Macaca fascicularis: one gene and its partners. The protein of the gene in region 4 interacts with the protein of the main gene of each other region in a pairwise test. Links are inferred from orthologs where the notes say so. Each region holds a gene or a part of one and is shown on either strand. Other genes may lie near its edges.

Region 1 (5,217 bases), on a different chromosome or scaffold from region 4:
TCACCTGTAGTTCATCCAGATAGATGGACTCCAACACTTCAACTTCAGAGGGAAGGACCCTAGAGAGACAGGAGTAGACTGACTTTCCATTACAACTCTCCCTGTGGAAGCCTGCTAAGGCCAATAAACGCGGGCTTTGTAGAAAAATGGCAATCTACCAGAATGCATTTTCCTGCTAAACTCCTTAAAAACAAGGAAAATGTTACCTTAAGTTTTCAACTGGCCAAATAGGAGGCACAAAAATCAGAATTTTAAGCATTATTTCTGCCAAGAGATGAAGAAGTGGATTCCAGAAAAATAAAATGACTAACCAAGGCTTAACATAGGTAGAACTGGGCCCAGAGTCGGGTTTCCTGACTCCCTGTTTAAGTTTCATTCCCCTTAGTGGCTGACTTTCTGGTCTAGAGGTATGGCACCCATTTACTAGCATTAACGTTACCAATATTACTCCAGCCTTTCCCTACATCAATGTCCAGTGTGGATCCCAGTGCCTTGGCTACCGTCTACATACACTTTTAACACCAGTCACCCTAAGCCTTCTTAAAGGAGATAGCAACCTCAACACAACAGGTCTAGGGTGGTGTAAAGGCTGTGTTGTAATGGAAAAGCCAGCAGCCTCGGAGTTAGTAACAGGTACCAATCACTTACAAGCTATGCGATCTGGGAAGTGACCTCTCTGTAAGCTTAAGTTATCCTGTCTATCACATATAGATGATAACACCTACTCTCTAGGGTTACTATGAGGATAAAAGGTGATTTGTTTATATAAAGTACCTAATAGTATCTGGGCTATAGTAGCTAGTCTACATCCTCTTTTTCTTCCCGTCTGTATATAACCTTCTCCCTTAGAAGGAAGAGGGAAGGAGGGAGGTAGTAGAGTACTCTGGATGTATTTATGACCCTGGCTGTCTGGTTGATCTACATCAGCCTGTTGAGGTTAGCATCCATGTTCCGATGTAAATCAGAGGACACACATGCTTAAGCATAGAAACAGTAGTTGTATTGAAATTGAAGCTGAGTGATCAGTTTGTGTCTACAGCTCTACCAGGTGATACATGGAAAAATGCATACTTTCCTTTCTCATACTGCTCTCTCTTCATTCTAAGAGTAAGGCTGCTCCAGCATGACTTATGTCAGTTGTTGTTAAGTCTTAGGCAGAAACTTCAAAATATAAAATACAAAGCTTTACACCTCACAGAAAATAGTGTAGTTTTGGCTGACATGGGATGGGAGTCTCACAGCACTACAGGCTGCTGCACTCACTGTTGTTCTCTCCATGGCTCAAGGTGTCTCCCCTGAATCTTAAAAGTTCCCCTGAACAGGTCAACTATAAGTTATCCCAGCACTTTGGGAGGCTGAGGTGGGAGGATCACTTGAGGCCAGGAGTTCGAGACCAGCCTGGGCAACAAAGCGAGACTATCTCTACAGAAAATAAAAAATTAGCTGGACACAGTGGTCCCAGCTACTTGGGAGGCTGAGGCAGAAGAATCGCTGGAGCCCAGGAGGTTGAGTCTGTAATGAGCCATGATCTTGCCACTGTACTCCAGCCTGGGTGACAAAGTAAGACTCCGTCTCTTAAAAAAAGAAAAGAAAAAGTTTCCCTGAACACTTTGAAAACCAGTAGTCTAGATAGTCTTAATAAAGGCCAGTACTAGCAGGGCTCCCTGAACCAATGTAACACTGAGGTGTAGCCTCAGTCAAGTGGCCCTTCAATACTTTGCCTACCCTAGTTATGTGGGTCCTGGATGGGATGCTGGTAAGGTGGTGACAACAAAATGGGGGAGAGGGGATTGAAGAATGTCCTAGTATAAAGAATCTAAGGTGTGGAGTCAGATAGATGTGGATTTCTAGTCGCAATTTTCCACCTTTTGGCAAATCACTTTACTTCTTTGGGGCTCATCTAATCTTCCCAGGTGCCTGCACCTCAGTTATTAATGAAAAGGAGGCCGGGTGTGGTGGCTCACGCCTGTAATTCCAGCACCTTGGGAGGCTGAGGTGGGAGGATCACTTGAACCCAGGGGTTCAAGACCAGCCTGGCCAACATGGCAAAACTCTGTCTCTACAAAAAATACAAAATTAGCTGGGCATGGTGGCACAGACCTGTAGCCTCAGCTACTTGGAAGGCTGAGGCAAGAGGATCACCTGAGCCTGGGGAGGTTGAGGCTGCAGTGAGCCATAATCGCACCACCGCACTCCAGCGTGGGCGACAGTGAGACTCTGTCTCAAAAAACAAAACAAAACAAAACAAAACAAAAAAACAGACTTAAGTATATTACAAATCCATCGTGATCCTCTCAACTATTCTGAGGTAAATACCACACCCACTTTGTTTTTACAGCTGAGGACACTGACTCACAGAAGCTAGATGGCCTGGTCAGCATCACACAGCTAATAAAATGCGGAGTTAACCCACATTGATCCTACTTCCAAATCCCAGAGTCCTTCCATGTTCTAGTCTTTAGTTAAGAATGCTTGAGAGAAGGACTAGAGGGACTTTATGTGAGGTGTAAAGCTTTATTCAGACAATAGTCCTCACTAGTGCTGTGTGGGAGAGAGAAGGTTGAGGAAAGCGTCGGCGGAAAAACGCTGATCCAAGGAGAAAGGGGTACCGAACCGGAGGGCACTAGTTCTGAGAGGCGAAAGGGAGATGGGGAGGTCTGACGGGCAGGCATCCCCCAAAGCCCCTGAGAAAATTCATTTGAGGAGCATAGAAAGGGATAGCGTGAAGCTGGAGGAAAGGGGATCGAACCGGATAAGGCGAGGCCTGAACTGGTCTGGCGGGCGCAGACCCGGTCTCTTCTCACTCAGATCAGCGCCCCTCCACCCTCCCGTTCCCCAGTCTAGAAGATCTCCCAGAGGAGATGTCAGCATCTCTGCCATCCCTCATCCTTCGCTCCACCCCACACGCCCGCCGTACGGACCGTCTGCGACAGCTGCTAGGCCTCTGGACTAGATCCAGACTGTCAGCCAAAGCCCATGCCCCCGAAGTTACCAGTCCTCCTCCCCTGCAGCTGCAGACGCAGACGCCGCCATGTCTTCACCGGCCCGCAGCCGGAACCGGAAATGCCCTTAGGGAAGTCGGAGGCGGAAAACTAAGAGGGGTGGGCAGCTAGCGTCGTTTCTAGGCAACCGCAGACTCCGGGTCCTTAGCCGGGCCTGACGGCCCAGAGGCAGTTCGGATGCGTCCCAGGAAGTGCCCATGTGTGGTCCGCCGTCCCTCCCACACCTCTGAGCGCCTTTGTCCTCTGAACTTCTCACCAGTTCTAGCGAGTGAAATTGTTAGAAAGGGAGCCAAAACAGACTGGCGCGAGGGGCGGGTGGAGAAGAATTGTAAGTCAGGCAACGTATGCAGGCAGCCAGAAGATATGGGGCTAAAGGCCAGGGAATCCGTCCCTGGGCCTGAGGAGCTTGGATCTCCTAGGCTGGGGATGAGAGAGGGACCCTGGCTTGCGAAGCGCATGGGCCAGGGGGTCTGAGAGCAGGTGCTGAGGAATCTGGGAGTGGCAGGAACTTGGGGGAGACTCGAAGGAGCAGGGTTGGGTGGGCGATGCTAGGTTAAGAGAGCAGGGTCGAGTGGGCCAAGCTGGGTGAGGGAGAAGGGGGACCAGGTGTCAGGTGGGCATGGGGCCGGGTTGGGGACAGGAGGCTGAAAGTGGAGAGGAACTACAAAGAGATGCTGTGTTTGTTCCAAGATCGCATCACCTTTGCGTCATTCTACCCTCCCATGTTTTTTGAGGCTTGGTCTTTGTGAAAAAGAGAAAAGGCAAGGTGGCTAACATTTTTCCTTTCCCATGCCCCAACTAGGCCTCCCAGATGTTGTGGAATTGTCCCTGGATCTATAGCTCTTCACCGTCTCTACCTTTTTCCTTCTAAGAGATTCTGAAACCTCTGTCATGGAAAAGTACCACGTGTTGGAGATGATTGGAGAAGGCTCTTTTGGGAGGGTGTACAAGGGTCGAAGAAAATACAGTGCTCAGGTATTGTACAAAGAGGGATACCTTTTGGGTGGGATTTGGTACCCCCAACTCCAGTGGAAAATGGGTCTAGAAGGGATGTATGTATACCAGTTTATATTCCTAAGGCATTGACTCTCTCATACTTCTTATGGAGTATAAGCTCTGAAGTTGTATTATTTGGGTATAAGTTCCATCTCCACCGCTTTCTAACCCTAGAATTATGGACAAATTACTTAACTTCTCTATGTCTCAATTTCCTCATCTCTAGAATGGGGATAAGAACAGCAACTGATTGATGGCATTTGAGATTAAGTATGTTGTCACATTAAATCAGTTAGTACAGTGCCTGGCTCTTAGTAAACAACAAATATTATTATTATTAGTCTCTAGCACACCATGTAGTAAGAGGTAAACCACTTGAACTCTATTATTTCCTCTTAATTTTTTTTCCTTTCCTTTCCCCTAAATCTCATCTTGACTGCTTTGGTCAAATCAGAACACTTCTCCTAGAAGGTGAGATGTTTTGCCCATGCTGTTTCCTCCTGGGATGAGGAGTGGGGAAAGCCTGGATACGGCCAGGGTACCATGGAGAAAATGGAAGCGGGAGACTGACAGAAATAATAAGAGTTACTCAAACACTCTAAAGTCTGACTTCTGGAGCTCTGAGATTAAGTCTGAAATTCTGGCTCTTTTCAGTAGTGTGATTAGGCATTAACTTTTCACCTTACCACTGACAGGTCGTGGCCCTGAAGTTCATCCCAAAATTGGGGCGCTCAGAGAAGGAGCTGAGGAATTTGCAACGAGAGATTGAAATAATGCGGGGTCTGCGGCATCCCAACATTGTGCATATGCTTGACAGCTTTGAAACTGACAAAGAGGTGTGCTTTGACAGTTTTGGGCCCTGTCTCCCCAAGCACAAGGGTTCCAGGAATTTCCCAACCTCAGAATATATGAATCTGGAGCCATCAGTGCCACTGCCTTCTCTCTGTAGGTGGTGGTGGTGACAGACTATGCTGAGGGAGAGCTCTTTCAGATTCTAGAAGATGATGGAAAACTTCCCGAAGACCAGGTATGCTTCCTGCCTTCAACTTCCCACCACCAACCTCTCTCCAGGTTAGGAACTGGTAGAGCAAGCTAAGGACACTGAGAGTCTCCATTTCTTCTCAGACTTCTGAGAAGAATATAAGAGTCTAGGTATATAGAGGCAGTGTGGTGTGGGAGTAAATTATATAAACATTAGAGCCAAAATATCTGAGTAGGA
Region 2 (4,925 bases), on a different chromosome or scaffold from region 4:
GCTGGGATGGGGAAGGAGGTGGCAGGAAACATCTGCAGAGGGCACTTAACCAAAATGATGACCATATCTTTTTTTTTTTTTTTTTTTTTTTAGCCCCCCCTAAGCAGGATGTCAAAAAATTTGGTGGTGAACTCACAATTGTTCCTCTCCACGGAAATCTTTAGTAAAAGGCGAAAGATTTAATAATGACCATATCTTTTTTTTGTTTGTTTTTGTTGAGACAGAGTCTCGCTTTGTCGCCCAGACTGGAGTGCAGTGGCCAGATCTCAGCTCACTGCAAGCTCCGCCTCCCGGGTTCACGCCATTCTCTTGCCTCAGCCTCCCGAGTAGCTGGGACTACAGACGCCCGCCACCTTGCCCAGCTAGGTTTTTGTATTTTTTAGTAGAGACGGGGTTTCACCGTGTTAGCCAGGATGGTCTCGATCTCCTGACCTTGTGATCTGCCCGAATAATGACCATATCTTAACATGATATTGCATATAAAGCACTGAGTACCTTTGTTTTTCCATTAAATATGTGTGTTTGTGTACATAGATACACGATGCATGTCTTTATATGTATACATATATTCTCCATTTGTTTAAAAACTTGATTCCCATACCCTAAGAGTGATGAAAATCATTACATAAACGACTTATTGCAAATAGTGAAAAATGGCAAAGTATTTATTTCTGTAGTTTCATAAAACACCACTTGCTATTATTTTCAAGTAGAGACTAGACATTTTCAAAATGGGAGTCTCAGAGCAGGCTATTCCCTGGGTATCCAGACCCCACTCTGCCGTGAAGAGACCACACCAACACCGAGGAATGCACTGAAGAGAATTTTATTACATTCAATTTTAGAGAAGTTATAGGATCTTAAAGATGCAGGTGCCCTAGGATTTAACACAAAAAGTCGGCCAGGTGCGGTAGCTCACACCTGTAATCCCAGCACTTTGGGAGACCAAGGCGGGTGGATCACTTGAGGACAGGAGTTCGAGACCAGTCTGGCCAACATGGTGAAACCCTGTCTCTACTAAAAATACAAAATTAGCCAGGTGTGGTGGCACGCGCCTGTAATCCCAGCTATTCTGGAGGAGGAGGCAGGAGAATCGCTCGAACCCGGGAGGAGGTTGCAGTGAGCCGAGATCGCACCACTGCACTCCAGCCTGGGTGACTGAGCGAGACTCGGTCTCAAAAACAAAAACAAAAACAAACCTGAAGTCCAAAAAAGCAAGAGACTCGGTCTCAAAAACAAAAACAAAAACAAACCTGAAGTCCAAAAAAGTAAAATAATTTGCTCACTACACATAATTTAGTTTGGTGTTGGGCCTAGATCTTAGGTTTTGTGAGTCAGGTGCAGCATTCCTGGCACGACGGTTTTTGCCCTACCACGGAAGGTCAAGTTGGATTATCCCGAGTTCTTCCAACTCTGCGCTTCCTCCCAGGTTGGTGTTTCACGAGTGAGTCTAATTCAGATCAAGCTGGCTTTTGAGATTCTGTTTTTTAAATCAGTGTGTAACACCAACACCCACCGAAACCAAATGGCTCTGGGCACAGGACACAGCCATTCACGCCCCCTGCCAGGAAAAGCTGCAGCTGACACAGGCTCCTCCAGCGTCGGCGGGCCACATGCGGGAGGAGGGGCCGCCTTCTGGTTGGCGCCGGGTGTCCGTCCCTCCTATCAGCGTAGGCCCCGCGAGGAAGACACGGGCTCGCCCTGGCTGGCGGGGCGGGGCCAGACACCTGTCCATCACCGAGTCCACGGGTGGCAGCACCTACCACACCGCAGTACCTTGGAGAGGCGGAGCAGGGGCGGGCAGGTCGCGGCCAGGGGAGGCGGAGCAAGGCCGGCAGGAGCCAATCGGCCCGGCGGCGCGAGGGGGCGGGGGCGGGGTCACCGCGCGCGACCCAAACACACGGGCTGGGCGCACCCTGCCGCCGCGCCGCTCCGCGGTCTTCCGGCGCGAGGGCCAGGGCACCTCCTCCCCTCTCGGGCACCCCCACCTTCGCGGCCCAGATCCTCCCGCCAGTCCGGCCCCTCCTTCGCAGGGGGAGCGAGGAGACGGTTGCCGGGAAGCGCGCGCCACCCCTCCCTCCCATTCTTCGTCCTCCCCTCGCGCGCCACCCGTTTTTCCTCTTTCTCCGTTAATAACAGCTGGGTGGCTGGGGGAGGAGGGAAGGTGGCCCCGGCGGAGTCTGGGCCGGCGCCTCCCACTCAGCCGCCAGCCGCCGTGGGAGCCGGAGGATGGCGGCGGTAGCAGCGGCCGCCCGAGAGGAGGCGGTGCCGAGGCCCGGGGCGCCGAGCGCGGCGGCAGAGAGCGGCAGCAGCCCGTCGTGGCGCACCAGAACCGAAACCAGCGGCAGCCGCACGGCCACCTGAGCCGCCCGTTCCTGCTGGAGCCAGCGAGGGGTGCCAGCCGCCGGGACCTCTTCCTCTCCGCGTCTCTTCGTCTCCTGCGCCCGCGTCAGGCCGCCGGCCTCGCCTACTGCCCCGAGAAGAGCGCGCCGGGCGCCGACTGCCCCTCGGGGCGCCGGGCGGCGGCCCTGGACGTGCGGGGGCCTCTCTGGGCCGGCCGCGGCGCCTCGGCCCTGCCCTCTAGCTCCTGCGCTCGCTCCCGCCCTCCCGGCTTTCGGGGCGCAGCGCGCGGGCCCGGCCCAGGGCAGGGCGGACATGGGCGCCAAGCAGAGCGGCCCGGCCGCCGCTAACGGCCGCACGCGCGCTTACTCGGGCTCGGATCTACCTTCCAGTAGCAGTGGAGGGGCCAATGGGACCGCGGGCGGCGGCGGGGGCGCTCGGGCTGCCGCGGCTGGGAGGTTCCCGGCTCAGGTGCCCAGCGCTCACCAGCCCAGCGCCTCAGGCGGCGCCGCGGCGGCCGCGGCGGCCCCAGCAGCTCCGCGCAGCCGCTCCCTCGGCGGGGCCGTGGGGAGCGTGGCGTCGGGGGCCCGCGCGGCACAGTCCTCCTTCAGCATCCCGAACAGCAGCAGCGGCCCTTACGGCTCGCAGGACTCGGTGCACAGCAGCCCTGAAGACGGCGGCGGCGGCCGGGACCGGCCGGTGGGCGGGAGCCCCGGCGGGCCGCGCCTGGTGATCGGCTCCTTACCAGCTCACCTCTCGCCGCACATGTTTGGAGGTACGGACCCCTCTCCGCGCGCCCGCGCTCGGTCCTCCCGCGGCTGCACGTGGGTCGTGGCCGCCGGCTATTTTTACCCTTCTCCTTTTCTCCTTCGGCGGGGCAGGTCTCCATCCTGGGAAGAAACCCCCGGCACTTAACTCCTGCGGTGCCGCTATCGCGTAGACGCGTGGTTTGGTTTTTAAACATCGTGAGCACCCTCACCTCAGCGGCTCCCCGGTAGAGAAAGTCTGTTTTCCATAGAGATGACTGGAGCAAATGTTGTTTTACAACAAACAGACGAAACAGCCCTTGTGGTTGTGGCTTTTAGTACCAGGAAGTCAGGAGGAGACCCTTTGCTAAATGTAGTTCTGTCTGGGGACTCAGTGGGGAACAGTTTTTAAAGGCCAAAAGTCAAAGGGTCTCGAATGAACGCTGAGTTACCATCTTTGGACTGACTTTTAATATAAAGCTATAATCCTTAAATCTGTGTCAGTCCCACTTACTATGTCACTTTAGTTGTATGAATGCGTTAATGAAAAGTTTGTTTTTAAACCTCACTAAACCGCTACTTAAGGTCACAGTTAATGTGAGTCCTACTTAATTTGGAAAACATTTAGAAAATGGAAAAATTTCCTAAGGAAGTAAAAATTTTGCAAATCAGCCTACTAGGTTCTTTTGAAGAGCAGTGTTGACTAGAGTTAAGGAAAAGTCAGTTGTGAAAAATGGGCATTTTTAATAGCAAAAGATGGCTTTACTATAGAAACAGGAGGAAGGGTGCATTGTCCTGGGAAAATGAATTCTTCTTCAGTTGTGTTTTATGCTGATCTACTTTATTGCAAAACGCTAATAGTAAATGAATCAAGACCACCTCCCCTCCCCGATTTATGAAAATAAATACAAATATAGAAGATAAGCATTCCCATTTCATCGCATTATGCATCCGATATTAGAAGAATTCGCAGCTGAGCACAGATTAGCAGCGAAAACAGCATCCCCTACATTTTTGTGCCTCTTTTACTCATGTGTTTGTAAACGTAGGAACTTTGAGTGGAGACTTAGTAAAGTGGAATACATAGTAATTTATCTCTTCTAATGTTCTGTACTATCAGCATACACGCCAGCATAAATTAAAAATAAGAATGTCATGTTTAATTTTTCCCATCTTTTAGTAACGCTTTGCACATTCAATATGGAATGATGCTTGACTTTTAATTAGCTACCTTGTTTTAAAGTAATTTTTGCTGCTTAAAAATATGCATCCCTCTTAAAATTGGGCCATTTTAAAAAGTCATTTGCTTTTGAGTAAAGGAAATCTACTGGTGTCCTTAAAGTGATTTGATCACAACTAACCTACCAGTTGAAGTTGCTGTAGTCCACATTGAAGAATATAAAAGGCAGTTTCTGAGAATTGGTGATTAGTGTGAGATTGAAGAGCAAACTGGTTTTTAATATTTATATTTTTAAAGTGAAAATTTGCATTTAGCAGTTATCAGAAGGTGAATATTTAAGTTTGCTAAAGAAGGGTGAATAGGAAAAGCCTTGTCAAGTTAATAGTTAATATTTATTTAATATGCTCATTTTTAAAAATTCATTTTCTAAGAGCTGATAATTCCCTTTGAGAAACATTATATTTCTGTGGGTTTATTTTGTTAAGTAAATGCATTCCGTTCAGAGCAAGGGACAAACAGTTGAGCTTCATGCTTCCTAGTAAATGAGTAAATCAAAATACCTAGTTGCTTAAAGTTGGAGATAAAGCATTTATCTTTTTTCTTATCTAAGTTCTAGGTTTGTGCACTCACTATAGTTCTTTTAGTGCTGTTGGGGTTGG
Region 3 (4,928 bases), on a different chromosome or scaffold from region 4:
CTTTAGGAAAAAGGTTAGAGCTGGAAATACAGGTTTGAGAAGTCATGAGATAGTAACAGTGAAAACCATAGGGGAAGATAAGAAAGTCCGGGCAAAATTCTACATTTAAGAGTGAGAAAATAGGAGGATTGAGGAAAATCCTAATCAAATGCTCTTTTAGTTTCCCCACCCAGTCTGCTTTCCTCGATTATTATTGTAATTATAAAATCATTTGTGTTTTTTTTTTTTTTAATTGAGATGGAGTCTCACTCTGTCACCCAGGCTGGAGTGCAGTGGCACAATCGTGAGCTCACTGCAACCTCCGCCTCCCAGGTCCAAGCGATTCTGCTGCCTCAGCCTCCCGAGTAGCTGGGGTTACACCCGCCACGACGCCCGGCTAATTTTTTTGTATTTTTAGTAGAGACGGGGTTTCACCGTGTTAGCCAGGATGGTCTCGATCTCCTGACCTCATGATCCGCCCACCTTGGCCTCCCAAAGTGCTGGGATTACAGGCGTAAGCCACCGCGCCAGGCCTTTTTTTTTTTTTTCTTGGAGACGGAGTCTCCCTCTGTCACCCGGGCTGGAGTGCAAGGCTTGAGCGTGGCTCACTGCAACCTCCACCATCCTGGATCAAGCGATTCTCCTGCCTCAGCCTCCCGAGTAGCTGGGATTACAGGTGTGCGCCACCACACCGGGCTAATTTTTGTATTTTTAGCGGAGAAGGAGTTTCACCATGTTGGCCAGGCTGGTCTTGAACTCCTGACCTCAGGTAATCCACCCGCCTCGGCCTTCCAAAGTGCTGGGATTACAGGCATGAGCCACCGCGCCTGGCCAAAATCATTTGTTTGCTGAACGATGTGAAGAATATGAGTGAACAAAAAAAGTACTGAAAAAGATGAGTTGATGGCAAAGGGAGGGAATTAATGTTTAGTGCACACTTAAGTGGCGAGTAATGTTCAGAGCATTATATAAACTGTCTCATTTAATCTAACAAGAACCTTTTGAGGTCAATACGTTTTCCCAATTTATAGAGGAGGAAACTAAGATTTATAAGGATCTCATGAATCAGAGAACTCTTAAGTGGCATCACTGGACTTTCGAAAGGAAGTCTGCCTGATGGACTCTAAGGCTCATCCTCTGTCTATCCTCCTAATGCATATAATGACGCATTTGTTATCTACTGACTTTTATAAAATAAACAAGGAGGCTTATGCGATTGTACAGCCCGAGTTCGCAGGAGGTATCTGTTACCACTTTTGATCTGATTCCGGAAGCATTAACAGTGAGGTGCCCTGATCTTTATGTAATTAGCGCATATGATATGGGTATCATTTGTTGTGAAAGACACTAACTCATGATGTTTCTGTTTACGTGTATCTGTAAATATAGTAATTTCTGTGGTTGGTTAATTTTTAGTTACGAAAAAATGAACCAAGATGTAGTCAAGATTTGGCTTAAATGTTGAACGCATAATTACCAAAGAAAATTAAATAATGAGCTTTGTGACACCTTTCAGTTTCGCCAACAGACTGATAAAACCAGTACAAAGGGGGAGGGTCGGGACCGAGGGGGCGGGACGGTGAGAAACGGGAATCGAGCAAGCGCAGAACCAAACAGATGTTAATGGAGGCGTGAAGGCTACTGCGCTCTCACTTTCCGAACTGTCGTAAAGGCCCCTAGTGTCGTGCTCTCCTCGGTAGGGGAGGAATTGGTTAGGCGGCGGCGGCGGCGGCGGCGGCGGCGGCGGCGGCGGTAGGGGAGCAGCGGCAGTGGCGGCGACGGCGAGGAGGTGTTCGGTCTGCGCAGCGTAGAAACGCCCGCAGCTTCAGAGAAGGAGTTCTTGTGGGACCAAATTAGGCATTCTGAACCCACGCCGGCTTAGCTGGGCCGAGTCCAGGCGCTGCCGCACGTACAGTTTTGGTGGCGGTGACAGACACTGCTCTTGACTCTAGGGGCCTGTTAGGCCGACGTCTGAGGCGCAGATCGCTGGCTCTCGACGCATTACTCTTTACGCCTTACATTTCTGTCTTCCTTCCTGGGTCAGTGATTCCCGGACCCTGGAAGAGAAGAGGGTGGCTAATGATTAAGGTGAGGGGAACAGGGGGGAGGGGATCCATTGGAGGCCGCGCGTGCGCGCAACGGGGGAGGGGCCGGCCTGGAGGGGAGAAAGAGGAAGGGCTGCGGCCGCGGAAGGCTGGGGTCGGCGACCGGCCGGTTATCTCTGGCTCAGTGGTGATTTAGGGTCTGGGTCTCCGCAGACGATTTGTGTTTGGGCAAGGCTTTCGTCTACCGACACACCCACAGCCTACATTGAGGAAGTGTGGGTGAGGGGATTTCTCTCCCTCTTCCGACTCTCCCTAGAGTCTCAGGATGGGGGCTGAGGACCGAGGCGTAGGAGTGCGATTTGACAATGGAGTGATGAAGGTAACCCGGACCCGGGGAGTTGGGGGGCGCTAAGTCAGCCCTGACGGCTAGGGAGCCGCCTGCTGCTGCTGTGATCAAGGAAACGTAGTCCGCGGAACAGCTGAAATACAGACGCGTCTGATTTTGTATGGAGTTGTCTTGTTGGTCATTTAAAAAGAAGCTGAATGTTTTTACTATTGTCCTTAGATAATTTATCAGAGACAGTGTCAGTGCTGTAGTGGGAATATCTGTTCAGTGCAGCAGAAATAGATTTGTCACAACAGTTCTTAAATAGGTTATAGTAGATGTTTACAGAGGGTATTTCTCAACCCAAGTGTAAGTTTTGATTATTCAAAAAATACCAGGAAGTATAGGGTATTCATTTAATTTGTTCATGTGTATAGTGTGGGGTGACTCCATTGTATTGTTGTAAGCTTTCCTGTTTTTTGATTTATGTGCGGCATTAATGTAGAATTCTCTTGAATGGTAAGATGCCAACTGACATAGACTACGTTTTGTAGGAGTTCCTGTAGCTTTTGAACCTGACAATCTAAACTTTATTTCATTTGGTATTTTATTTATAATTTTCTTGTTTTAGGGGCCTCTTCAACTAAAAAGAACAAACTGGGAAAAGATAAGCTAAGGTTCCATTTCCTTTCTCATTTTTGTTTTTTTTGTGTGTGTGTGTGTGATGCTTGTAAATGCTTGAATGTGATTTTGAGATTACCATACACAAGTTCTGTAACACTGGACTTAGCTTTATTACAGTAAAGATACACCTTTTGATCGTTTGTTACTGTATGTATTTTTGTAAAAATCTTCATGTCAATATAAGCCACATTGTTTCACCCTAGTCTGGTTATGTTTGTGAGGTAAAACAGATGGATAAGAAGGAGGTCCTTTTACTTTTAAAATAATTTTATGTTGATTTTTTTTAAAAGCCTTGATTTATCTTATTTTGGACACTTTCTTGCCATTTAACCTTGGACAGATGACTATCATCTCTCTCCTGCTCATTTGTTTGTGACCAAAGATTCACAATAGTATTCTAAGAATTGATGAGGGTGTTTGTAAATTGGTCTAAATAATATTATAGGAAAAAGTAGGAAGAGTGAGTCTCCCCTTGTTTATCACGAGTGCTATATCATGTGCAGATCCTTCTGTCACTTTTTAACTTTTGTTTGGTGTCTGTTGGCCACATGTTTGCTAGTTATTTCACCTGACATAGAATTGGTTTTTAAAGAAAGATATAAACAAAGTGACTCCATTTTGGTGAAAAATGCATTACAAAAGAGGTTACACCTTAACGAATTTCACTGTGGTACTCCGTTTCTACAGATTATTGAGAGAGAGCTATTCTAATGTTTAAGAGAACAGTACCTTGCTTGTATAAAGCTAAGGTATAGTCATTTAGCAGATACTCCTAGTTATTTTACTTTAAAATAAAAAATATAAAAGAAACTAATTGAATCAAACCGTTTAGATTTTTAGATGCTTTTGTTGTTGTTGTTGTTATAGTTTAAAGAGGGGTTTCTGTATTATGCTTTACTTGAGGCATACTTACGTGCCCTTCTTTTGCCTTTTTCTCCCCTTTTGGGCTAAGACTTCAGTAGGAAATAAAAGAGACTATCTGAAAAATGATAGAAGTTAAAATATGTTATAACCTGACATTAACATTCTATGGGTAACATTATCTTATGAAATAATATAGGACTAGAGACAGAAGATCTAGATTTTAGATCTATCTTTGCTTGCTATACATTAGATCCCCGAGTTTATTGTTAACCCTCCTTGGGCTTCAGGTCTCTCTGTTTAAGTGAGAATTGTAGAATAGATAACTGGTTTTCTCTAGGTCCCAAATCTAACGGTTTGTATATCTAGTTAGGTTTTTGGTATTCGTTGTTTTATTCTTCGTAATCAAATCCCCGGAAAGAAATGCTGTACAGAAAGCATCAATTTCCTCATGAAATGTGTGTGTGTAAAACCTATGATGAAACTGAGGGCCAGGTGTGGTGGCTGACCCCTGTAATCCTAGCATTTTGGGAGGCCAAGGCGAGTGGATCACTTGAGGTCAGGAGTTCGAGACCACACTGGCCAAAATGGTGAAACCCCATCTCTACTGAAAATACGAAAAATTAGCCAAGCTTAGTGGTGTGTGCCTGTAGTTCCAGCTGCTTGGGAAGCTGAGGCAGGAGAATGGCTTAAACCTGGGAGGCGGAGGTTGCAGTAAGCTGAGATCGTGCCACTCACTGCACTCCAGCTTGGGCAACAGGGCGAGACTGTTTTTCAAAACAAACAAACAAACTATGATTGTTGTTCCACATATTATTGTTATTGTTGTCCCATTGTAGATATTAATTACTCAAGCTTTAATAGCTTTCAGATGGTACTAAAAATGAAATTTTTTATTACTCCTGGTAACATTTTAAAAATCATCCTGAATAATTTGTTTTTCTTTCAGAAACCTGTAATTATTGTTCAGTAAAAGTCCACAATTACATTTGGATGTCTTAAACCTCTGTTTGCTTCTTTCCTACATCCTACAG
Region 4 (3,990 bases):
GGATTGCCCAAGTCACCCAGCTCTTGTACTCACCCAAGTCACCCATCTCTTGTACTCAATCTGTGATTCTCATTCAGTCAGAAATAAAACGCAGTCTTTGGGGATTAGGTAGACTGCCAGATAAAATACAGTTGCAGCAACAAGAAGTAATTGAAAGTCACTTTTTTAAAAAACTGGTAAAATTACAGGTAATTTTTACTTTGTGTTTTGGTATATTTCACAAATAAAAATTAAGAGACCAAATAACACCTGCTCATGTGGCTTGTGTTCTGCTGTGGTCCTTGCCCATTACTGGCTCTGCATCCATGGACACTCGATTACATAGATAGTAAATTCTGTGATTTAGGTAGACAGGATGTCTGTGGGACCTGATGTAAAGGTCAGAAAAAAGCAGAAGTAGACTTCTCTTCAAATTTTGTTCAGCTTTTTGGGTGTAGTCATTGTTTGCTAAGTATGTTGTTTAATTATCTTTAGGTACCTATTATGTTGCACTTCAGTTTTTAAGAGAGACTTACGATTTTAAATATTTTAAAGCTTTTAAGTATTTTAAAGCTTACTTTGAGGCAGTGTAGTACTACCAGCTAGCACAAGAGGTCAGCAAACAATTACCTATTCAGACTTGGAAATGTTAATATTTAAAAGATTTAAAATTGCTAAAGATAAAATTAGGAAGTACTGAACTTACCATCAGGGGACGTAACATTTTAAATGAAATTGACACAGTCCCTGAGATGGTCAGTGAACACTTTCTAATCAAATTTATTAAACAAGTCTATCTTCTTGACAGCTTTAATTAAAACTGCTTTTATTCACCTTTTTAAAAACTACCTATCTGGGAGTTTTTTTTTTTTTCTTTCTTTCTAATTAGGGTCATTCAGTTGAGTATTTAGTAAAAAGTGTGTTTGCTTTTTAACTATTGTTTGACACTTCCTTGTTTTCCTTAGGTTACATTTCGGACAAGAATCTATCATTGTAATATTAACAGTCAAGGTGTTATTTGCTTGGACATATTGAAAGATAATTGGAGTCCAGCACTAACCATTTCTAAAGTCCTCCTTTCTATCTGCTCACTTCTTACAGACTGTAATCCTGGTAAGGTTAATAATTCTTTACCTTGTTTTATTCTTCCTCACCTGAAAAGTACTTGTTTCCAAAAGCTTTCAAAGGACAAAACTAATTTTTCTGCAAAACTTTATGAATATAAAAACTAATCTGCTTTTCAAAGAAAGTTTTAATCGAGAAGTTCAGTCTACTAGTTGAGACATACAACTTCATTAATCAGTATATTCTAGCAACAAGGTATTTTAAACTGAAGACGAAGTTTGCCTTGGGCTTTTACAGTTTCAGTTATTCTTCCCTCTATTTTTTTTTTTCCTGTTGCTTAATTTCCCATATAGTTCTTATAAAACAAATCATACACTTCTAAATGCCAAGTCATCTGCCTGGCAAGCCTCACCTTGCCTGTGGGGTTCAGTGGGCATGTGCCCATAGCTGGTCACTGAGATGGCACTCAGTTTTGAAAATGGTATTTGTTAAATACTTAGTGACTACTGAATTGTGACTTTTTTGGGACTTCATTTCATTTAAAAAATATTTTTCTGTAGTCCCAGCTACTAGGGTGGCTGAGGTGGCAGGATTGTTTGAACCCAGAAGGTCAAGGCTGCAGTGAGCCATGAGCATGCCGCTGCACAGAACTCCAGCCTGGGTGGCAAAGTGAGACCCTGTCTCAAAAAAAAAAAAAAAAAAGTGTGTATATATATAAATATATATATGTGTGTATATACACACATATATTATTTATTTTCTAGGTAAACCAAATATAAATTTAGTTATTAAAGATCCTAAGATTCAGAGAAATACTATACTTAATTGGAGGTCCAGGTTTTGCCTGGCAACCTGGCTCTTTAACCAGTGTAAAGGTAAATAGTGTTGCATTGCAACAGCCCCGAAGACTTCACAGTATTCACAATGCCATAACTGGTGACACTGAGCTAAGGGTCACATCAACACAGTTGGATGTTCATTGTAGTCTGGAGCCTTGACCGTTCCAGTCTCCACTGAACTCAGCCTAACACATAAGAGTAAAGAAACTCCAATCGGGTGGTGTTTATTGGGAGAAAAATGGAATGAACTAAGATACAGACAGACCAGTAAACTAAAGCCTGAGCATTCCCTCTTCCTCCCATGTTACGATTTTTAAATTTTTGATGGAAAAATATCCGGCATAGTGGAGTGGTGTTTCGAAGATGGGTTTGATCACACATACTTGGTTGTACATGTCTGCCCAAGCTGTCACTAATGTATTTGCTAAAGTTTAAAATGTTCTTTTCCTTTCTCCAAAGTAATCTACATTCTTTTCTTCCAGCCGACCCCTTGGTGGGAAGTATTGCCACTCAGTATATGACCAACAGAGCAGAACATGACAGAATGGCCAGACAGTGGACCAAGAGATACGCTACATAAACTGGGTTTTCACAATTCTTACATTATTTGTCACAGAAGAGAGCTGCTTATGATTCTGAAGGGGTCAGGGAGGGTGGGAGTTGGTAAAGAGTAGGGTATTTCTATAACAGATATTATTCAGTCTTATTTCCTAAGATTTTGTTGTAACTTAAGGTATCTTGCTACAGTAGACAGAATTGGTAATAGCAACTTTTAAAATTGTCATTAGTTCTGCAATATTAGCTGAAATTTAGTACAGAAAAGAATGTACATTTAGACATTTGGGTTCAGTTGCTTGTAGTCTGTAAATTTAAAACAGCTTAATTTTGTACAGGTTACACATATGGCCATTTATGTAAAGTCCCTCTAAGACTACATACTTTTTGTTTAAAACAAAATTGGAATTTGTTTTCCCTTCTTGGAAGGGAACATTGATATTTAACAGAGTTTTTAGAGACTGTCATCTCATATATATAAAATGGACACGTGGCTGTAAGACACCATATAGGAGATGAGTAATGTGTTTTATTTTATATGCCAATCTACTTTGTTTAAAAAAGGTTTAAATCAGGACTTGTGAAAACCTGTAGTGAAATACCTTAAGCTGTTAACTGTAAGGCGTGGAATAGGAGTTGCTCAGTGGATTGGTTATATGTTGTGGACTACTTAAGTCTGCATTTGTTACTGTGCTAATAAACAATATTAAAAACCGCCTAATACTGCTGTGTTCATTTACTTTTATTTTGCCTTTTGGTTGCTGTTTGCAGATTCTTCTGAAATCGATAGGTATCTGCTTCTAAAACAAGCTAAAAATAATGCATATTTAGTAGGTATTATTTACCCATATTAGGATCTGTACTTTACACAGCTGTAGATGTTGAGGTATCCTAGACAAGGTTAAATAATCTACCCCATTTAGGCTTCAAAGACGAACCCTACTGCATTTTTTTTTAAAGCGTTTTCTGACTTGCAGATGCTGTAGTAGCAAGTACATGGGAAATGGGTTCTGTCAGGGATAAACTGGTACACTGCCGTAGGGGGCATTTTGGCAGTACCTAAGTATACACATGGCATGACCCAGCAGTGCTGTTTCTGTGTGTCTTTCATTACAGAATTTAAAAAGAATTGGTAACTCTGTCTGTACTAATATAGACTAAGTTGCATTAGCAGGAAACAAAACAAACTGGAAGGTACTTATTTAAAAATCATTATGAAAGCATTTGTCCATCTATGTAACATGTATGGAGGGAAAAGCTAGATTAATATTCAATAACTGGGGGAAAAGGTAAGGGGTGAGTTAGTGTCTGAGTGGTAATTTTTTGACCAAAAAAAATGAATTTATGATGAGAAATTTTGAAGAATTCTACTGTAGCAGCAATAGCTGATTTATAAGTATTGTCTTTTATATGTAGTAGTTCTTCACTTGAGCTCATGAAAAAAAGTATTCCATTTAAGATGTTACAAATTACTTGATGTTTTAATATGTTCTTTGCTGAATAGCTTATTTTACATTTCAATCAAAATAGTTATTTCACAGATGAAACCACT
Region 5 (5,238 bases), on a different chromosome or scaffold from region 4:
TACTAAAAATACAAAACTTAGCCGAGCGAGCTGGCGCACGCCTGTAATCCCAGCTATTCAAGAGACTGAGGCAGGAGAATCGCTTGAACCCGGGAGGCAGAGGTTGCAGTGAGCCCAGATCGCACCACTGCACTCCAGTCTGGGTAACAGAGTGAGACTTTGTCTCAAAAAAAAAAGAGAGAGAAAGAAAAGAAAATTTAATATTTTTCTCACACAAAACAACAAAAAGATAAATTTATTAAACTGAAGAATATAGATTCCTTTTAAAGCCAAGAGTAGAGTGGGGAAAAAAGGGAAGATTTCTAAATCCAAACTGCTTAAACTGATAAGATTTTTTTTATTCCTTTAAAGCACACAAAATCATTTTTAAAATAAAACTCCCTTAAAGCTAGGAGTTCATCCTCTGGCAACACCCTCTTTCTTTAACAAAGTAATGAGTTGCAAGTTATCGCTAGTACTCCCTTTTAGACTCAAGTTGAAGGGCAATACAAAAACAATTTTATTTTTCTGTACTTCGTTATTTGAGTATAACTGTCTCATCCTAATTTTATAATAGGCCAACTTTAAGCGATTCATATTCGAAACATTCTTACAGAAATAATCTATTGATCTCAAGAATTCTACTATTGAACCTGGTAGAAAGTATTCCAAATTATCAAAAGAAACCATGAAAGTATGAAGCTGTAGCGTTCATAACGTTAGATCAAAAAACTTAAACCACACAAAAATATTTAGAAATCTCAGCTCCCTATTTCTTATCAAAATACTAAAGAACTTTAGATGTCTTCTTTAAACGTACTAAAGATACAAAAGTAAATTCCTTTTGACTTCAGAGGGCCGAAATGAAGAATTCGGTAACTGCAAGCAAAAAGTATGAGGGGAGAAAATTACTTGAGAAAATATTTCGTGAGACAAACACCATTTAAAAAAAAAAAAAAAAAAGACGTATTAAAATCATTTACTCCCTTCTACCAGACAAACAGTCCTCTCCTAGAACTCAACTGCTTACAATTCAGCCAAGTATGATTGCCAAGAGTTTCTAAACCTGTGTTAGGATTGTTCAAAGTGGAAAGCTTCTCCACCAGTGTATTACAACAACAAAAAGTATATTTTTTAGAGTTAAAGATCAACAATTAAATACACTCCTCTGATAAACTTAATGTAAGCGATTTAAAAAAAAAAAACTCAAGTTGTAACTTAGGACAAAGTTTGCTATATAAATTGCTTGCAGTTCTAAGAGTATTTATTTGGTCCCCCAAATTGGGGCTTAAGTGGCTGAAAGAAAAAAGTTTTATAGACAGGTTTTCTAACCTTAGTTTACATTTGGTAAAACAGACCATTTATCACAATCAAGTGAACATAATGCCAAATGTTAAGATTCCAAATTTTACAGGTAAAATTTGTAAAAATTACAATAACCCACTAATGGACTGCCACATGAGACTGTCACTGATGTTCAACATTTTTACATATATCTTAAGAATGCAATGTCATGTATGTCATGTTCAAACTTGGGATGTATGTATTTGCACTATGTAATCCTGGTTGCTTTTCTGGTAATTCTTTATCTCACAGTGGTCTGATTATAGCCAGGGCTGCTTCTTCTCATTATACCATTAGTCAGTATATCTTAATTTTGCTTTCACCAAAACATGGACATCATAAGCCACCTCTTGCTTCTAGTTTTCTGCTTTTTACTGTAGATAACAATGACAGTGAGTTCTACCAAATGCATGTATGTGCACAGCTTTGTCATTCTTTTCCCAGCCCCCTTCTTTTCTATGAGAAAAATACGAGAAACTTAGGTTTATATAAAAACATCGATTTTTCTTTTGCATACATACCTAATGGATTTTCAAGAGAAGACAATTTATTCAGATAACTATCATCCTAGAAATGTCAAGAGAACTTCCCAAATCCAAAAATAAGAAGTAAATCTGATAATAACTGGAAAGGAAATTTCCACTCAAATCATAAATAAAATGTCATCAATTAAGCTGAACATCAATAAAACTCAGTCAAAAATCAAGTCTCAATACAGAACCCACATATAACCCACATATAATCAAAATATCACTTATATTTGCTGGCGGAGTTCACAGATGAATTCTGTATGTGCGCCAAATTTATCTTATTTTGAATTGCTGGGGTTAATATTAGTATAAATCAGAGCCCACACGAAGTGTCCTGGGCAGAGACAATCCAAAGAACGCTTAGTAGCATGGTAAAAACCGGTCCAAAATGAAAAAAAAAGAAAAGAAAAAAGCCACGTCCTAACACAACAGAGCGAATAAGCGACAAATAGATCACTGAAAGCAAAACGAAAACGGTCCCCTCCGGAGTAGACTGAATAAAAGATCTTTACTCATAACGTTTAATACTATCCGACCTCACTTCATTCACTTCCCAACTTCCTTTACTTTTCAAGGGCCACCACGGGGCATCCCTTTTTCTGGAAGTGTATATGGAAAGGATCTGTACAGGAAAGAGGGAAGGAACGGACAATTCTCAAGAAGGCTAAGAAACAGGTGGGTTAGCAGGAGCAGAAGCATAATCTAGACACTTAAGGGGCAGCTTTAAGATGACAGATGTGGTGGAAGGAAAGACTGCAAATCGGAAGAAGCCCTAGTGTGGCAGATACACTGTGGGCTGATTGCAAGCACCAAAGGGGGGCAAAGGCTAACTCCAGAGTGGTAGCAGTGGAGCAAAAAACAAGCAGCAGGACGGGTGGGCAATGAGCAGTGGGATTAACGAGCAGCAGCAGCAACACGGGTCAGAGTGGAAGTGATGGCTTTGGTCTTGGGAGACGGGGGCCAGTGGGAAAGGACGTCAGACAGGGAATAGGGGGTTGGGGAAACAAGGAGGACTGAGACCTAAGAATCCTGCCCCTATGAAAATGCAGGGGGCAAAGCTGGAGACCAAAAGCCGCCTCGGCTCCCCAATTAAAGAAATTCTCGAAGGAGAGTCGCTGCTTGCCGCCGCGCTGCCTTCTGACCCGCTCGCTTTTCCTGATGGTAACTGCTGTGGCGTAAAGAGGAGAGGGAGGAAGAGGAGGAGGAGGAAGAAGACCAAGGAGGAGGAGGGTGAAGATGAGGCGGGGGGTGGGGAGAAAGGGGGGTGCGGCCTGTACAGTCCCAGCGAAGCCTCCGCTCTCTCGTAGCCGGTCAGCCCCGGGTTTCCCCTAAGCCCAGCCCCGCATAGACTCACCCGCCTGCCTTGCCTCGCTTTTCCCTCAGCCGACTCCACGCGCTGCCGCGTCCTCACAAGAAACCACCGAACGAGCGTCGGGGAAAAAACTCTTCAGAACCGGGCCTGATTGCTTCAGCGAGTCCGACCTTTACGGCTGAGAGAGAGACTCTCAGCTTTCGGTGGGTTCCACAGCCAGACGGGCCACCATCTTACATTAGGGTAAGACTCCTCCGGCCTCCCGTGCGCAGGCGCACGCCGATCCGGCCAGGAGGGGCGGGGGAGGGGCGGGAGGAGCGGCGGGCGGCTGAGTGGGAGGTTGCGGTGGCCGCTCCCGCAGCACCCTGGGAGTTGGAGTCCTCGGAGGGTAACCGCCCAGGGGCACGCCGGGAGTTGAAGTCCTCTCTCAGAGGGCGGAGGAGATCGCCCACCTCACGTGGCTGCTGGACTGAGCCTTTCTTCGTGTTTTGCTTCCTTCTCTGCGCGCGTGTGCTACTTCAATGTCATTTGGTCGGCGGTTTTCACTAGTCATTCTGTGTCCTCGGTGTTTTTGGAAATGTGCGACCCCAAGACTGGGGCGAGGCTAGACAATTTTTCTGGGAGCCCGGAATGTTTCTTCTCTGCCCCGCCCACCAGGGATATCTAAAGGGGGCGGGGTGGAGGTGGAGGCAGGTTGGGGGTACGAAGAGCGCGGGATTTGATCTAGGGTAAGAATTTGATACAGACTTGGCGTCTGTTTGCGAAACAAGGAGGAAACAGACGCCCGTTTAATTCATTTCCCTGTCCTTGCGCATTTGGGGGCCACCACCCTTGATACCTTCTTCACTGTAAAATCGCCGGTGAAGAAATATACTAAATTGTTCTGTGCAGATTACCCAAGAGAACGGAAGACCCGTGCACTTACAATAACGTGCTTCGGTTGATGTGAATTTGAGAATTTGCAGACCTCTGTGCGAATTAGTGTTAGTTCGCTGTCCTGCCAGCACAGCTGTGTGCAAGTTGACAAACTCTACACACATCGGCACATCCCCAAGAACAATGAATGCAGCCACAATCTCTACGAGCACTGAGGAATCATCAGTCACAAACGTCAGTCAATGTACTGGTCGCTCCCGTTTGCATCCCAGAACTCTGGTGAAAGCGGCGCTCGAAGCAGTAATTTTTGCTTATTGCATGTATTCTTCACCCACTCATACAGCAAATACTCAATGAGCTCCTCCTGGCCGCCGGGTACTCTTCTATATATTGAGAACACAATGGTGAGCAAAATAGAAAAAATTCCCTGTCCCCATCCTAGTGATATGTTGGGATGAGGAAGAGGAGAGAGGAGGCATTTTTTAAAAAATACGTGATTAAAATGCATAGTATGTCATAACCGATTTTAAAAACTTAGGAAAGGGGAGTAGGGAAAGAGGTTGCAGTTTTAAATTTATGAACTCAATGTCATAAGAAGAAGCCCTCATTTCTTTTTTCCTTTTTTTTTTTTTTTTTTTTTTTTGAGATGGAGTTTCTCTCTATCTCCCAGGCTATAGTGCAATCTAGGCTCACTGCGCTCACTGCAAGATCCGCCTTCCGGGTTCACGCCATTCTCCTGCCTCAGCCTCCCAAGTAGTGGGACTACAGGCGCCCGCCACCAAGCCTGGCTAATTTTTTGTGTTTTTCAGTAGAGAAGGGGTTTCACCGGTCACCCAGGCTGGAGTGCAGTGGCGCGATCTCGGCTCACTGCAACCTCCGCCTCTCGGATTCAAGCGATTCTTCTGCCTCAGCCTCCCGAGTAGCTGGGATTACAGGCACGTGCCATCACGCCAGGCTAATTTTTACATTTTTAGTAGAGACAGGGTTTCACCATGTTGGTCAGGCTGGTCTCAAACTCCTGACCTCAGGTGATCCGCCTGCCTCGGCCTCCCAAAGTAGTGGGATTACAGACGTGAGCCACTGCACCCGGCCTCATTCTTTCAATACATTGGTTTTCTGTGTTTCCGTTTCCTCACTATCAAACCTAGAGACAACAGTTATTTGGGTAAAAATTAAAATATGTAATGAAGTCACATT
Region 6 (4,903 bases), on a different chromosome or scaffold from region 4:
TCCTAGAGTGCTGGGATTACAAGCGAGTCACCATGTCCTGGCCTGATTTTCAAATTTTTAACAGACTTTTACTCAGGAGGCTGAGGCAGGAGAATTGCTTGAACCTGGAAGGCGGAGGTTGTCCAGCCTGGGCTACAGAGCAAGACTCCATCTCAAAAAAAAAAAAAAGAAAGAAAGAAAGAAAGGAAAAGAAAAACAGGCCAGGTGTGGTGGCTCACGCCTGTAATTCTAACACTTCGGGAGGCCAAGGCGGGCGGATTACCTGAGGTCAGGAGTTCAAGACCAGCCTGGCCAATATGGTGAAACCCTGTCTCTACTAAAAATACAAAAAATTAGCCGGGTGCAGTGACACGCACCTGTAATCCCAGCTACTCAGGAGGCTGAGGCAGGAGAATCGCTTGAACCTGGGAGGCGGAGGTTGCGATGAGCCGAGATTAGGCCACTCCACTCCAGCCTGGGTGACAGAGTGAGATTACGTCTCAAAAAAAAAAAAAAAAAGAAAAAAAAAGAAAGAAAAAAAAGAAAAAGAAAAACAATTGTTCGCTGAATGAATGTGAATATAGGAGAGAAAGACGGACTGAGGTATCAAAGGAACCCTCCCTTGCAAAATGATGCAGGCTTGGTCAACAATACACCTATTGAGTACCCACCGTGTCCTTGGCCGTGGTGTAGGCCGAAACACAGAACATGGTAAACAAAACAGGGCTCCAACCTTGGACAGAAGGTTTCTATAATCACTTCTAGCTACGTTGTTCTATTTCCATATCCATATCTATTCACATTTTATGGTACCTCTATTGGTTCTGAAAATTACATTTTAGCTAAGGAATCTACTCATTTGCTTAAGCCCAAAATAGGAAGTTCTGACCTAGTGTCAGCAACACTCCGGATTCACAAGTGTCCCCATGGCGCTGTTTACCCCCAAATAGCTAAACCCCGCCAAATGTTGAGATTCCGGACCTGAGGGGTGCTTGGATGGGGAACCCCCGAAAGAATGGACATCACGTCCACCAGAGGGTGCTGTGGGGGCAAATTTGTGCCAGGAGGGGAGCTCGACTGGTGACCCTCAGAGCCAGGTAGGCGTAAGGAGTAAATCTCCTTCTTCCCGGTGTTTCCTTCCCACCCCCTCGAACCATTGCTGCCCCTCCCCCATACGTGGTTCCCCCTGAATAATTTGCCATTTTCGGGGACTTAAGAAGTGTTTGCTTTTCAAAGACATCTGGTTTCTGTGGCTAACGCCCAGTGGCTCAGGCCGCCCAGGTCACAGGCCGGCCGGGGGCGGGCGGTGGGTGGGGACTGCTGGGGCGTCAGCTGCCCGGGCGCCGCAGGGGCCGCGAAAGGGTTAACCCGACGGGGGGAGGGGGAGGGGGCGCAGGCCGCGCCTGCGCTCTGCCGCCCTCCATTGTCTCCACGGCGGCCAGGAGCGCCGGCAAGCGCTGCCCGGGACCGAGCGGGGTGGCGCGGCTGGCGGGGCCGGCGGCGACTGAAGCGAGAGCGCGACACGACGCGACCGCGGCTTCCCGAGCTGCGCCTGGCCGCCCAGCGCCGCGGCCCGCCCGAGGCCTGGAGAGGTCCGGGCCGCCGTCCATGGTCGCGGCGTCCTGAGGCGGGGGACGCGCCTGGCGCCCCCGGTCCTCCTCCTCCTCCCGCGGGGCGGGCGGCCTCCTCCGGCGCCTCCCCGCGCCCGCCTGCCTCTCGCCGCCGCCTCCCTCCCTCCTTCCCTGCGGCTCCCCCGGCTTTCGGAGCCCGGGGGCGGCCTGTGGCGCGCGGAGCCCGCGCCGGACTGCGCCTCTTTGGACCTTGAGGGGAAACGTGCGTTTGGCTTGGATCGTTTGAAATTCTGAGTTTGGGATCCCCGTCCGCCCGCCTGCCTCTTCCGCCCCGCGGGTTTTTTCCTTTTTTCTTTTGCTTTTTTCTTTTCTCCCTTCGGGTCTCCTTTTTGACTCCCTCCCTCTTTATGCTCGCCCAGCCCTCCCCCCGCTGCTGAGAAGTGGGGGAGGGTCTCGGCCTCCAGGTTCCCGCCCCACCGGGGCCCGGGCGAGCATGGGGGGCAAGCAGAGCACGGCGACCCGCTCCCGGGGCCCCTTCCCGGGGGTCTCCACCGATGACAGCGCCGTGCCGCCGCCGGGAGGGGCGCCCCATTTCGGGCACTACCGGACGGGCGGCGGGGCCATGGGGCTGCGCAGCCGCTCGGTCAGCTCGGTGGCAGGCATGGGCATGGACCCCAGCACAGCAGGGGGGGTGCCCTTTGGCCTCTACACCCCCGCCTCCCGGGGCACCGGCGACTCTGAGAGGGCGCCCGGCGGCGGAGGGTCCGCGTCCGACTCCACCTATGCCCATGGCAATGGTTACCAGGAGACGGGCGGCAGTCACCATAGAGACGGGATGCTGTACCTGGGCTCCCGAGCCTCGCTGGCGGATGCTCTACCTCTGCACATCGCACCCAGGTGGTTCAGCTCGCACAGTGGTGAGTCCACGGTGGTGGAGGCCTCGGAGGGAGGGCGCGCCGGGGCGCCCCAAGCCTTCGCGCGCGTGCCAAGGTTTGGGAATATAGTGCACGACCGGGATCTGTCTGCCTTCCCTTTGGTTCCCGATGCCAAGGGATGAATGGGATACCTACCCTCTGGAAACTAGGCTTTCTGCAAGGTTGCGGAGCCTGGCGATGTAGGACTCCCGGCGTGTGTTCACTTGTGGAAGGGCAGAGCGAAGCCTACCTATTGGAGTCCCATTTATTGGCATCTCCCTCCTCAGAGAAGCGGTCTTCTCTGGCTGAGAGCAAGTCAGCCTGGGTGCTTCCATTCTGCCACTGCAGCACTGTGCCTGCCTCACCAGTAACGGAGAGATGGAGCCAGTTGGAGCAAGCAGTGTCTCCAAAACAGAGAGTATGAAAATGAAATAAAATTAGGGGCGAGTGATGCCTGGATTAGGGCTCTCACTCTTGCTGGGAGAGAGAGGTGCCCAGTTTTGCCACCCTGCTGGAGATCTGTTTGAAATGTTTAAAATGGAGCAGCCGGCAGGCGGCTGGCATAGACAGGTGTGGCTGCTGTACGGAGGGCCCAGCCGGCGAGTCTCGCGGGGGCTTTGCAGGACCAGGGCTCTGGTCACCCGTACTGCATGCAGCAGACTTGGCTCCACGACTCTCACCTCCCTCCATCTTTTTTCTTCTGCTCCATGCTAAGTGCTTGGTCTTCCCGTGAATCTGCATCTTTTTGTAACAGGGAGCCTGTCAAGGTGGGGCATTATTGCCTGACTGTTGGCACATGACTGGGGGAAAGGAGGATTCAGAGAATCTGGATGAATTCATTTTATGAACTTCTGGTGACAGGCCAGCAAAAGGTTGGAGGGGGATTTCCCAGGCTCCTACTGGGAGGGCTAAAAAGGCCTGGCAGGAGGAAAACAGGTCTGTCTGCTAGGTCAGGCTTCTAGAAAATTGGCCAAAAGGTGTGTGGGGCCGCTGTTTGCTAATTGGCAAGTTGAGTGAATAACTTACATCTTAAGTTTCTTTTGGGTGAGTTGGGAAAATTTAGATATTGTGTAGGGGAAAGATTGCTCCTGCCTTTAGGGTACTTTATGGAGGGTAATATCTCGTGGATCACTGTTTTACCTACTGTGAAATAGGGTTGACTTTTGGGGTATCGCTTTCCCCCTCCCTGCAAATATCCTGGGGTTTGTTTTCATTTGGTTCGGTTTTTTGTCAATTCTATAAACTATGTGAAATAGAGTTGGGGGACGAACTGTTAGTGACTAATTTAGGGTAACCCTTAGAAGTAGCTTGTGAATTGTTAGGATGATATTTTAATCTCTGAACAGACCTCCGGATATCATTGGAGCTTTTCTGACCTCATCGAACTCTGACCTGAATGAGATGCAAAACATGATTGCCTTTGGCTCTTTCAGGCATTTGATCAAAATTAGGCATTTTGAAATTAATAATCTTTCCTATGAAATTTAGTTCAGAGAGTTAGCCATATTTTTGAGATGACTGGTTAGGTGTTTAAAAGAACTGTAATGAGCATCTGGTTTTGAACTTAAAAGCACTATACGAAGTTTCTCTAAAATCACAGAATTTTGTGTGTTGAAAAATATGAGATATGTAGGGAGGAAGAAAGGGAGTTTTTTTTTTTTTTTTTTTTTTTTGCTGAAATTTCTTCAGTCTGTCTCTTACTAAAAATTTATTTATTATGCTACTGCCAGGTTCCATGCTAAAGTTATGAGCTTATAATTGGATTCCAGAATTTCAGTCCTAAGCTGTGAAAGCTTATTTTTTTTCATCCTGTTATGGTGAGAGTAGGGAGAGCCACTGAACTGTGGGGACAGGAAAGTTGGAGCACATTAATCCTTTGGGGAAGGGTGTCAAAAGCGTGTATGGGAGGCTGCTATTAATATTGTAGGTAATCTGTTCCTTACTGTGTAGGACCATCATGTCCTTCTGCAAGACATTGAGCATGCCTGGCCCCACCTACTAAATGCTGATAGCATCCAGCAGTTCAGTGTGTCACCCCAAAATGTCCCCAAGAACTCCCAAATGCCCTCTGGGGTGTGGGTGGTATCACTCTGGTTGAGAACCACTGCTTTAGGGATTTATTCTTTTATTTACATAAAGTCATTAACTTTTCCTGTGCAGTTCATTTGAGATGAACCTTCGTGTGCAGCATCGGTTCCATCTCACCTGAAACAGACCATGGGATCTTCCAGGACATGTTTCCTCTGTTGCTCATTGCTGCAAGAAGCAAAACTTGTTTCTGCTTTGGAGCCTTTGAGTAAGGTCTAAGCGGCTTTTGCTGTTGTGTTGTAAGATTAGAAGGGTAAAGATTTTGGTGCACAATTGATTAGATGCCTGGAAGTTGATATGATGCGTTTCCTTGTGTTTTCAAGGTGCTCTTGCAACTCTTCATGGGTACAG

What was found.
Region 1: the proteins of UBE2E1 (region 4) and RNF25 interact in binary tests that used the Homo sapiens proteins (3 or more experiments, as listed by UniProt). The link is inferred for Macaca fascicularis from reciprocal best matches to the Homo sapiens genes UBE2E1 and RNF25.
Region 2: the proteins of UBE2E1 (region 4) and ZNRF2 interact in a two-hybrid assay, tested with the Homo sapiens proteins (2 studies listed by BioGRID). The link is inferred for Macaca fascicularis from reciprocal best matches to the Homo sapiens genes UBE2E1 and ZNRF2.
Region 3: the proteins of UBE2E1 (region 4) and RNF111 interact in a two-hybrid assay, tested with the Homo sapiens proteins (2 studies listed by BioGRID and IntAct). The link is inferred for Macaca fascicularis from reciprocal best matches to the Homo sapiens genes UBE2E1 and RNF111.
Region 5: the proteins of UBE2E1 (region 4) and CNOT4 interact in a two-hybrid assay, tested with the Homo sapiens proteins (2 studies listed by BioGRID). The link is inferred for Macaca fascicularis from reciprocal best matches to the Homo sapiens genes UBE2E1 and CNOT4.
Region 6: the proteins of UBE2E1 (region 4) and ZNRF1 interact in binary tests that used the Homo sapiens proteins (3 or more experiments, as listed by UniProt). The link is inferred for Macaca fascicularis from reciprocal best matches to the Homo sapiens genes UBE2E1 and ZNRF1.

The regions. Positions count from the first base shown.
Region 1 is NC_088386.1:114,599,047-114,604,263, forward strand, and holds the start of RNF25 (E3 ubiquitin-protein ligase RNF25), read right to left. Parts: upstream 3,066-5,217; 5' UTR 3,034-3,065; coding exon 2,993-3,033; intron 60-2,992; coding exon 1-59. Other genes in the region: STK36 (serine/threonine-protein kinase 36), read left to right, coding at 3,894-3,977, 4,694-4,834, 4,948-5,025. UniProt on the Homo sapiens protein: E3 ubiquitin-protein ligase that plays a key role in the RNF14-RNF25 translation quality control pathway, a pathway that takes place when a ribosome has stalled during translation, and which promotes ubiquitination and degradation of translation factors on stalled ribosomes.
Region 2 is NC_088377.1:99,987,822-99,992,746, reverse strand, and holds the start of ZNRF2 (E3 ubiquitin-protein ligase ZNRF2), read left to right. Parts: upstream 1-1,894; 5' UTR 1,895-2,655; coding exon 2,656-3,115; intron 3,116-4,925. UniProt on the Homo sapiens protein: E3 ubiquitin-protein ligase that plays a role in the establishment and maintenance of neuronal transmission and plasticity. Ubiquitinates the Na(+)/K(+) ATPase alpha-1 subunit/ATP1A1 and thereby influences its endocytosis and/or degradation.
Region 3 is NC_088381.1:35,458,963-35,463,890, forward strand, and holds the start of RNF111 (E3 ubiquitin-protein ligase Arkadia), read left to right. Parts: upstream 1-1,660; 5' UTR 1,661-2,067; intron 2,068-2,112; exon of another isoform or gene 2,113-2,403; intron 2,404-4,928. UniProt on the Homo sapiens protein: E3 ubiquitin-protein ligase. Required for mesoderm patterning during embryonic development. Acts as an enhancer of the transcriptional responses of the SMAD2/SMAD3 effectors, which are activated downstream of BMP.
Region 4 is NC_088376.1:24,464,380-24,468,369, reverse strand, and holds the end of UBE2E1 (ubiquitin-conjugating enzyme E2 E1), read left to right. Parts: intron 1-944; coding exon 945-1,092; coding exon of another isoform or gene 1,093-1,211; exon of another isoform or gene 1,212-1,580; intron 1,581-2,365; coding exon 2,366-2,463; 3' UTR 2,464-3,159; downstream 3,160-3,990. UniProt on the Homo sapiens protein: Accepts ubiquitin from the E1 complex and catalyzes its covalent attachment to other proteins. Catalyzes the covalent attachment of ISG15 to other proteins. Mediates the selective degradation of short-lived and abnormal proteins.
Region 5 is NC_088377.1:177,181,042-177,186,279, forward strand, and holds the start of CNOT4 (CCR4-NOT transcription complex subunit 4), read right to left. Parts: upstream 3,422-5,238; 5' UTR 3,208-3,421; intron 1-3,207. UniProt on the Homo sapiens protein: Has E3 ubiquitin ligase activity, promoting ubiquitination and degradation of target proteins. Involved in activation of the JAK/STAT pathway. Catalyzes ubiquitination of methylated RBM15.
Region 6 is NC_088394.1:70,818,606-70,823,508, forward strand, and holds the start of ZNRF1 (E3 ubiquitin-protein ligase ZNRF1), read left to right. Parts: upstream 1-1,401; 5' UTR 1,402-2,043; coding exon 2,044-2,467; intron 2,468-4,903. UniProt on the Homo sapiens protein: E3 ubiquitin-protein ligase that plays a role in different processes including cell differentiation, receptor recycling or regulation of inflammation. Mediates the ubiquitination of AKT1 and GLUL, thereby playing a role in neuron cells differentiation.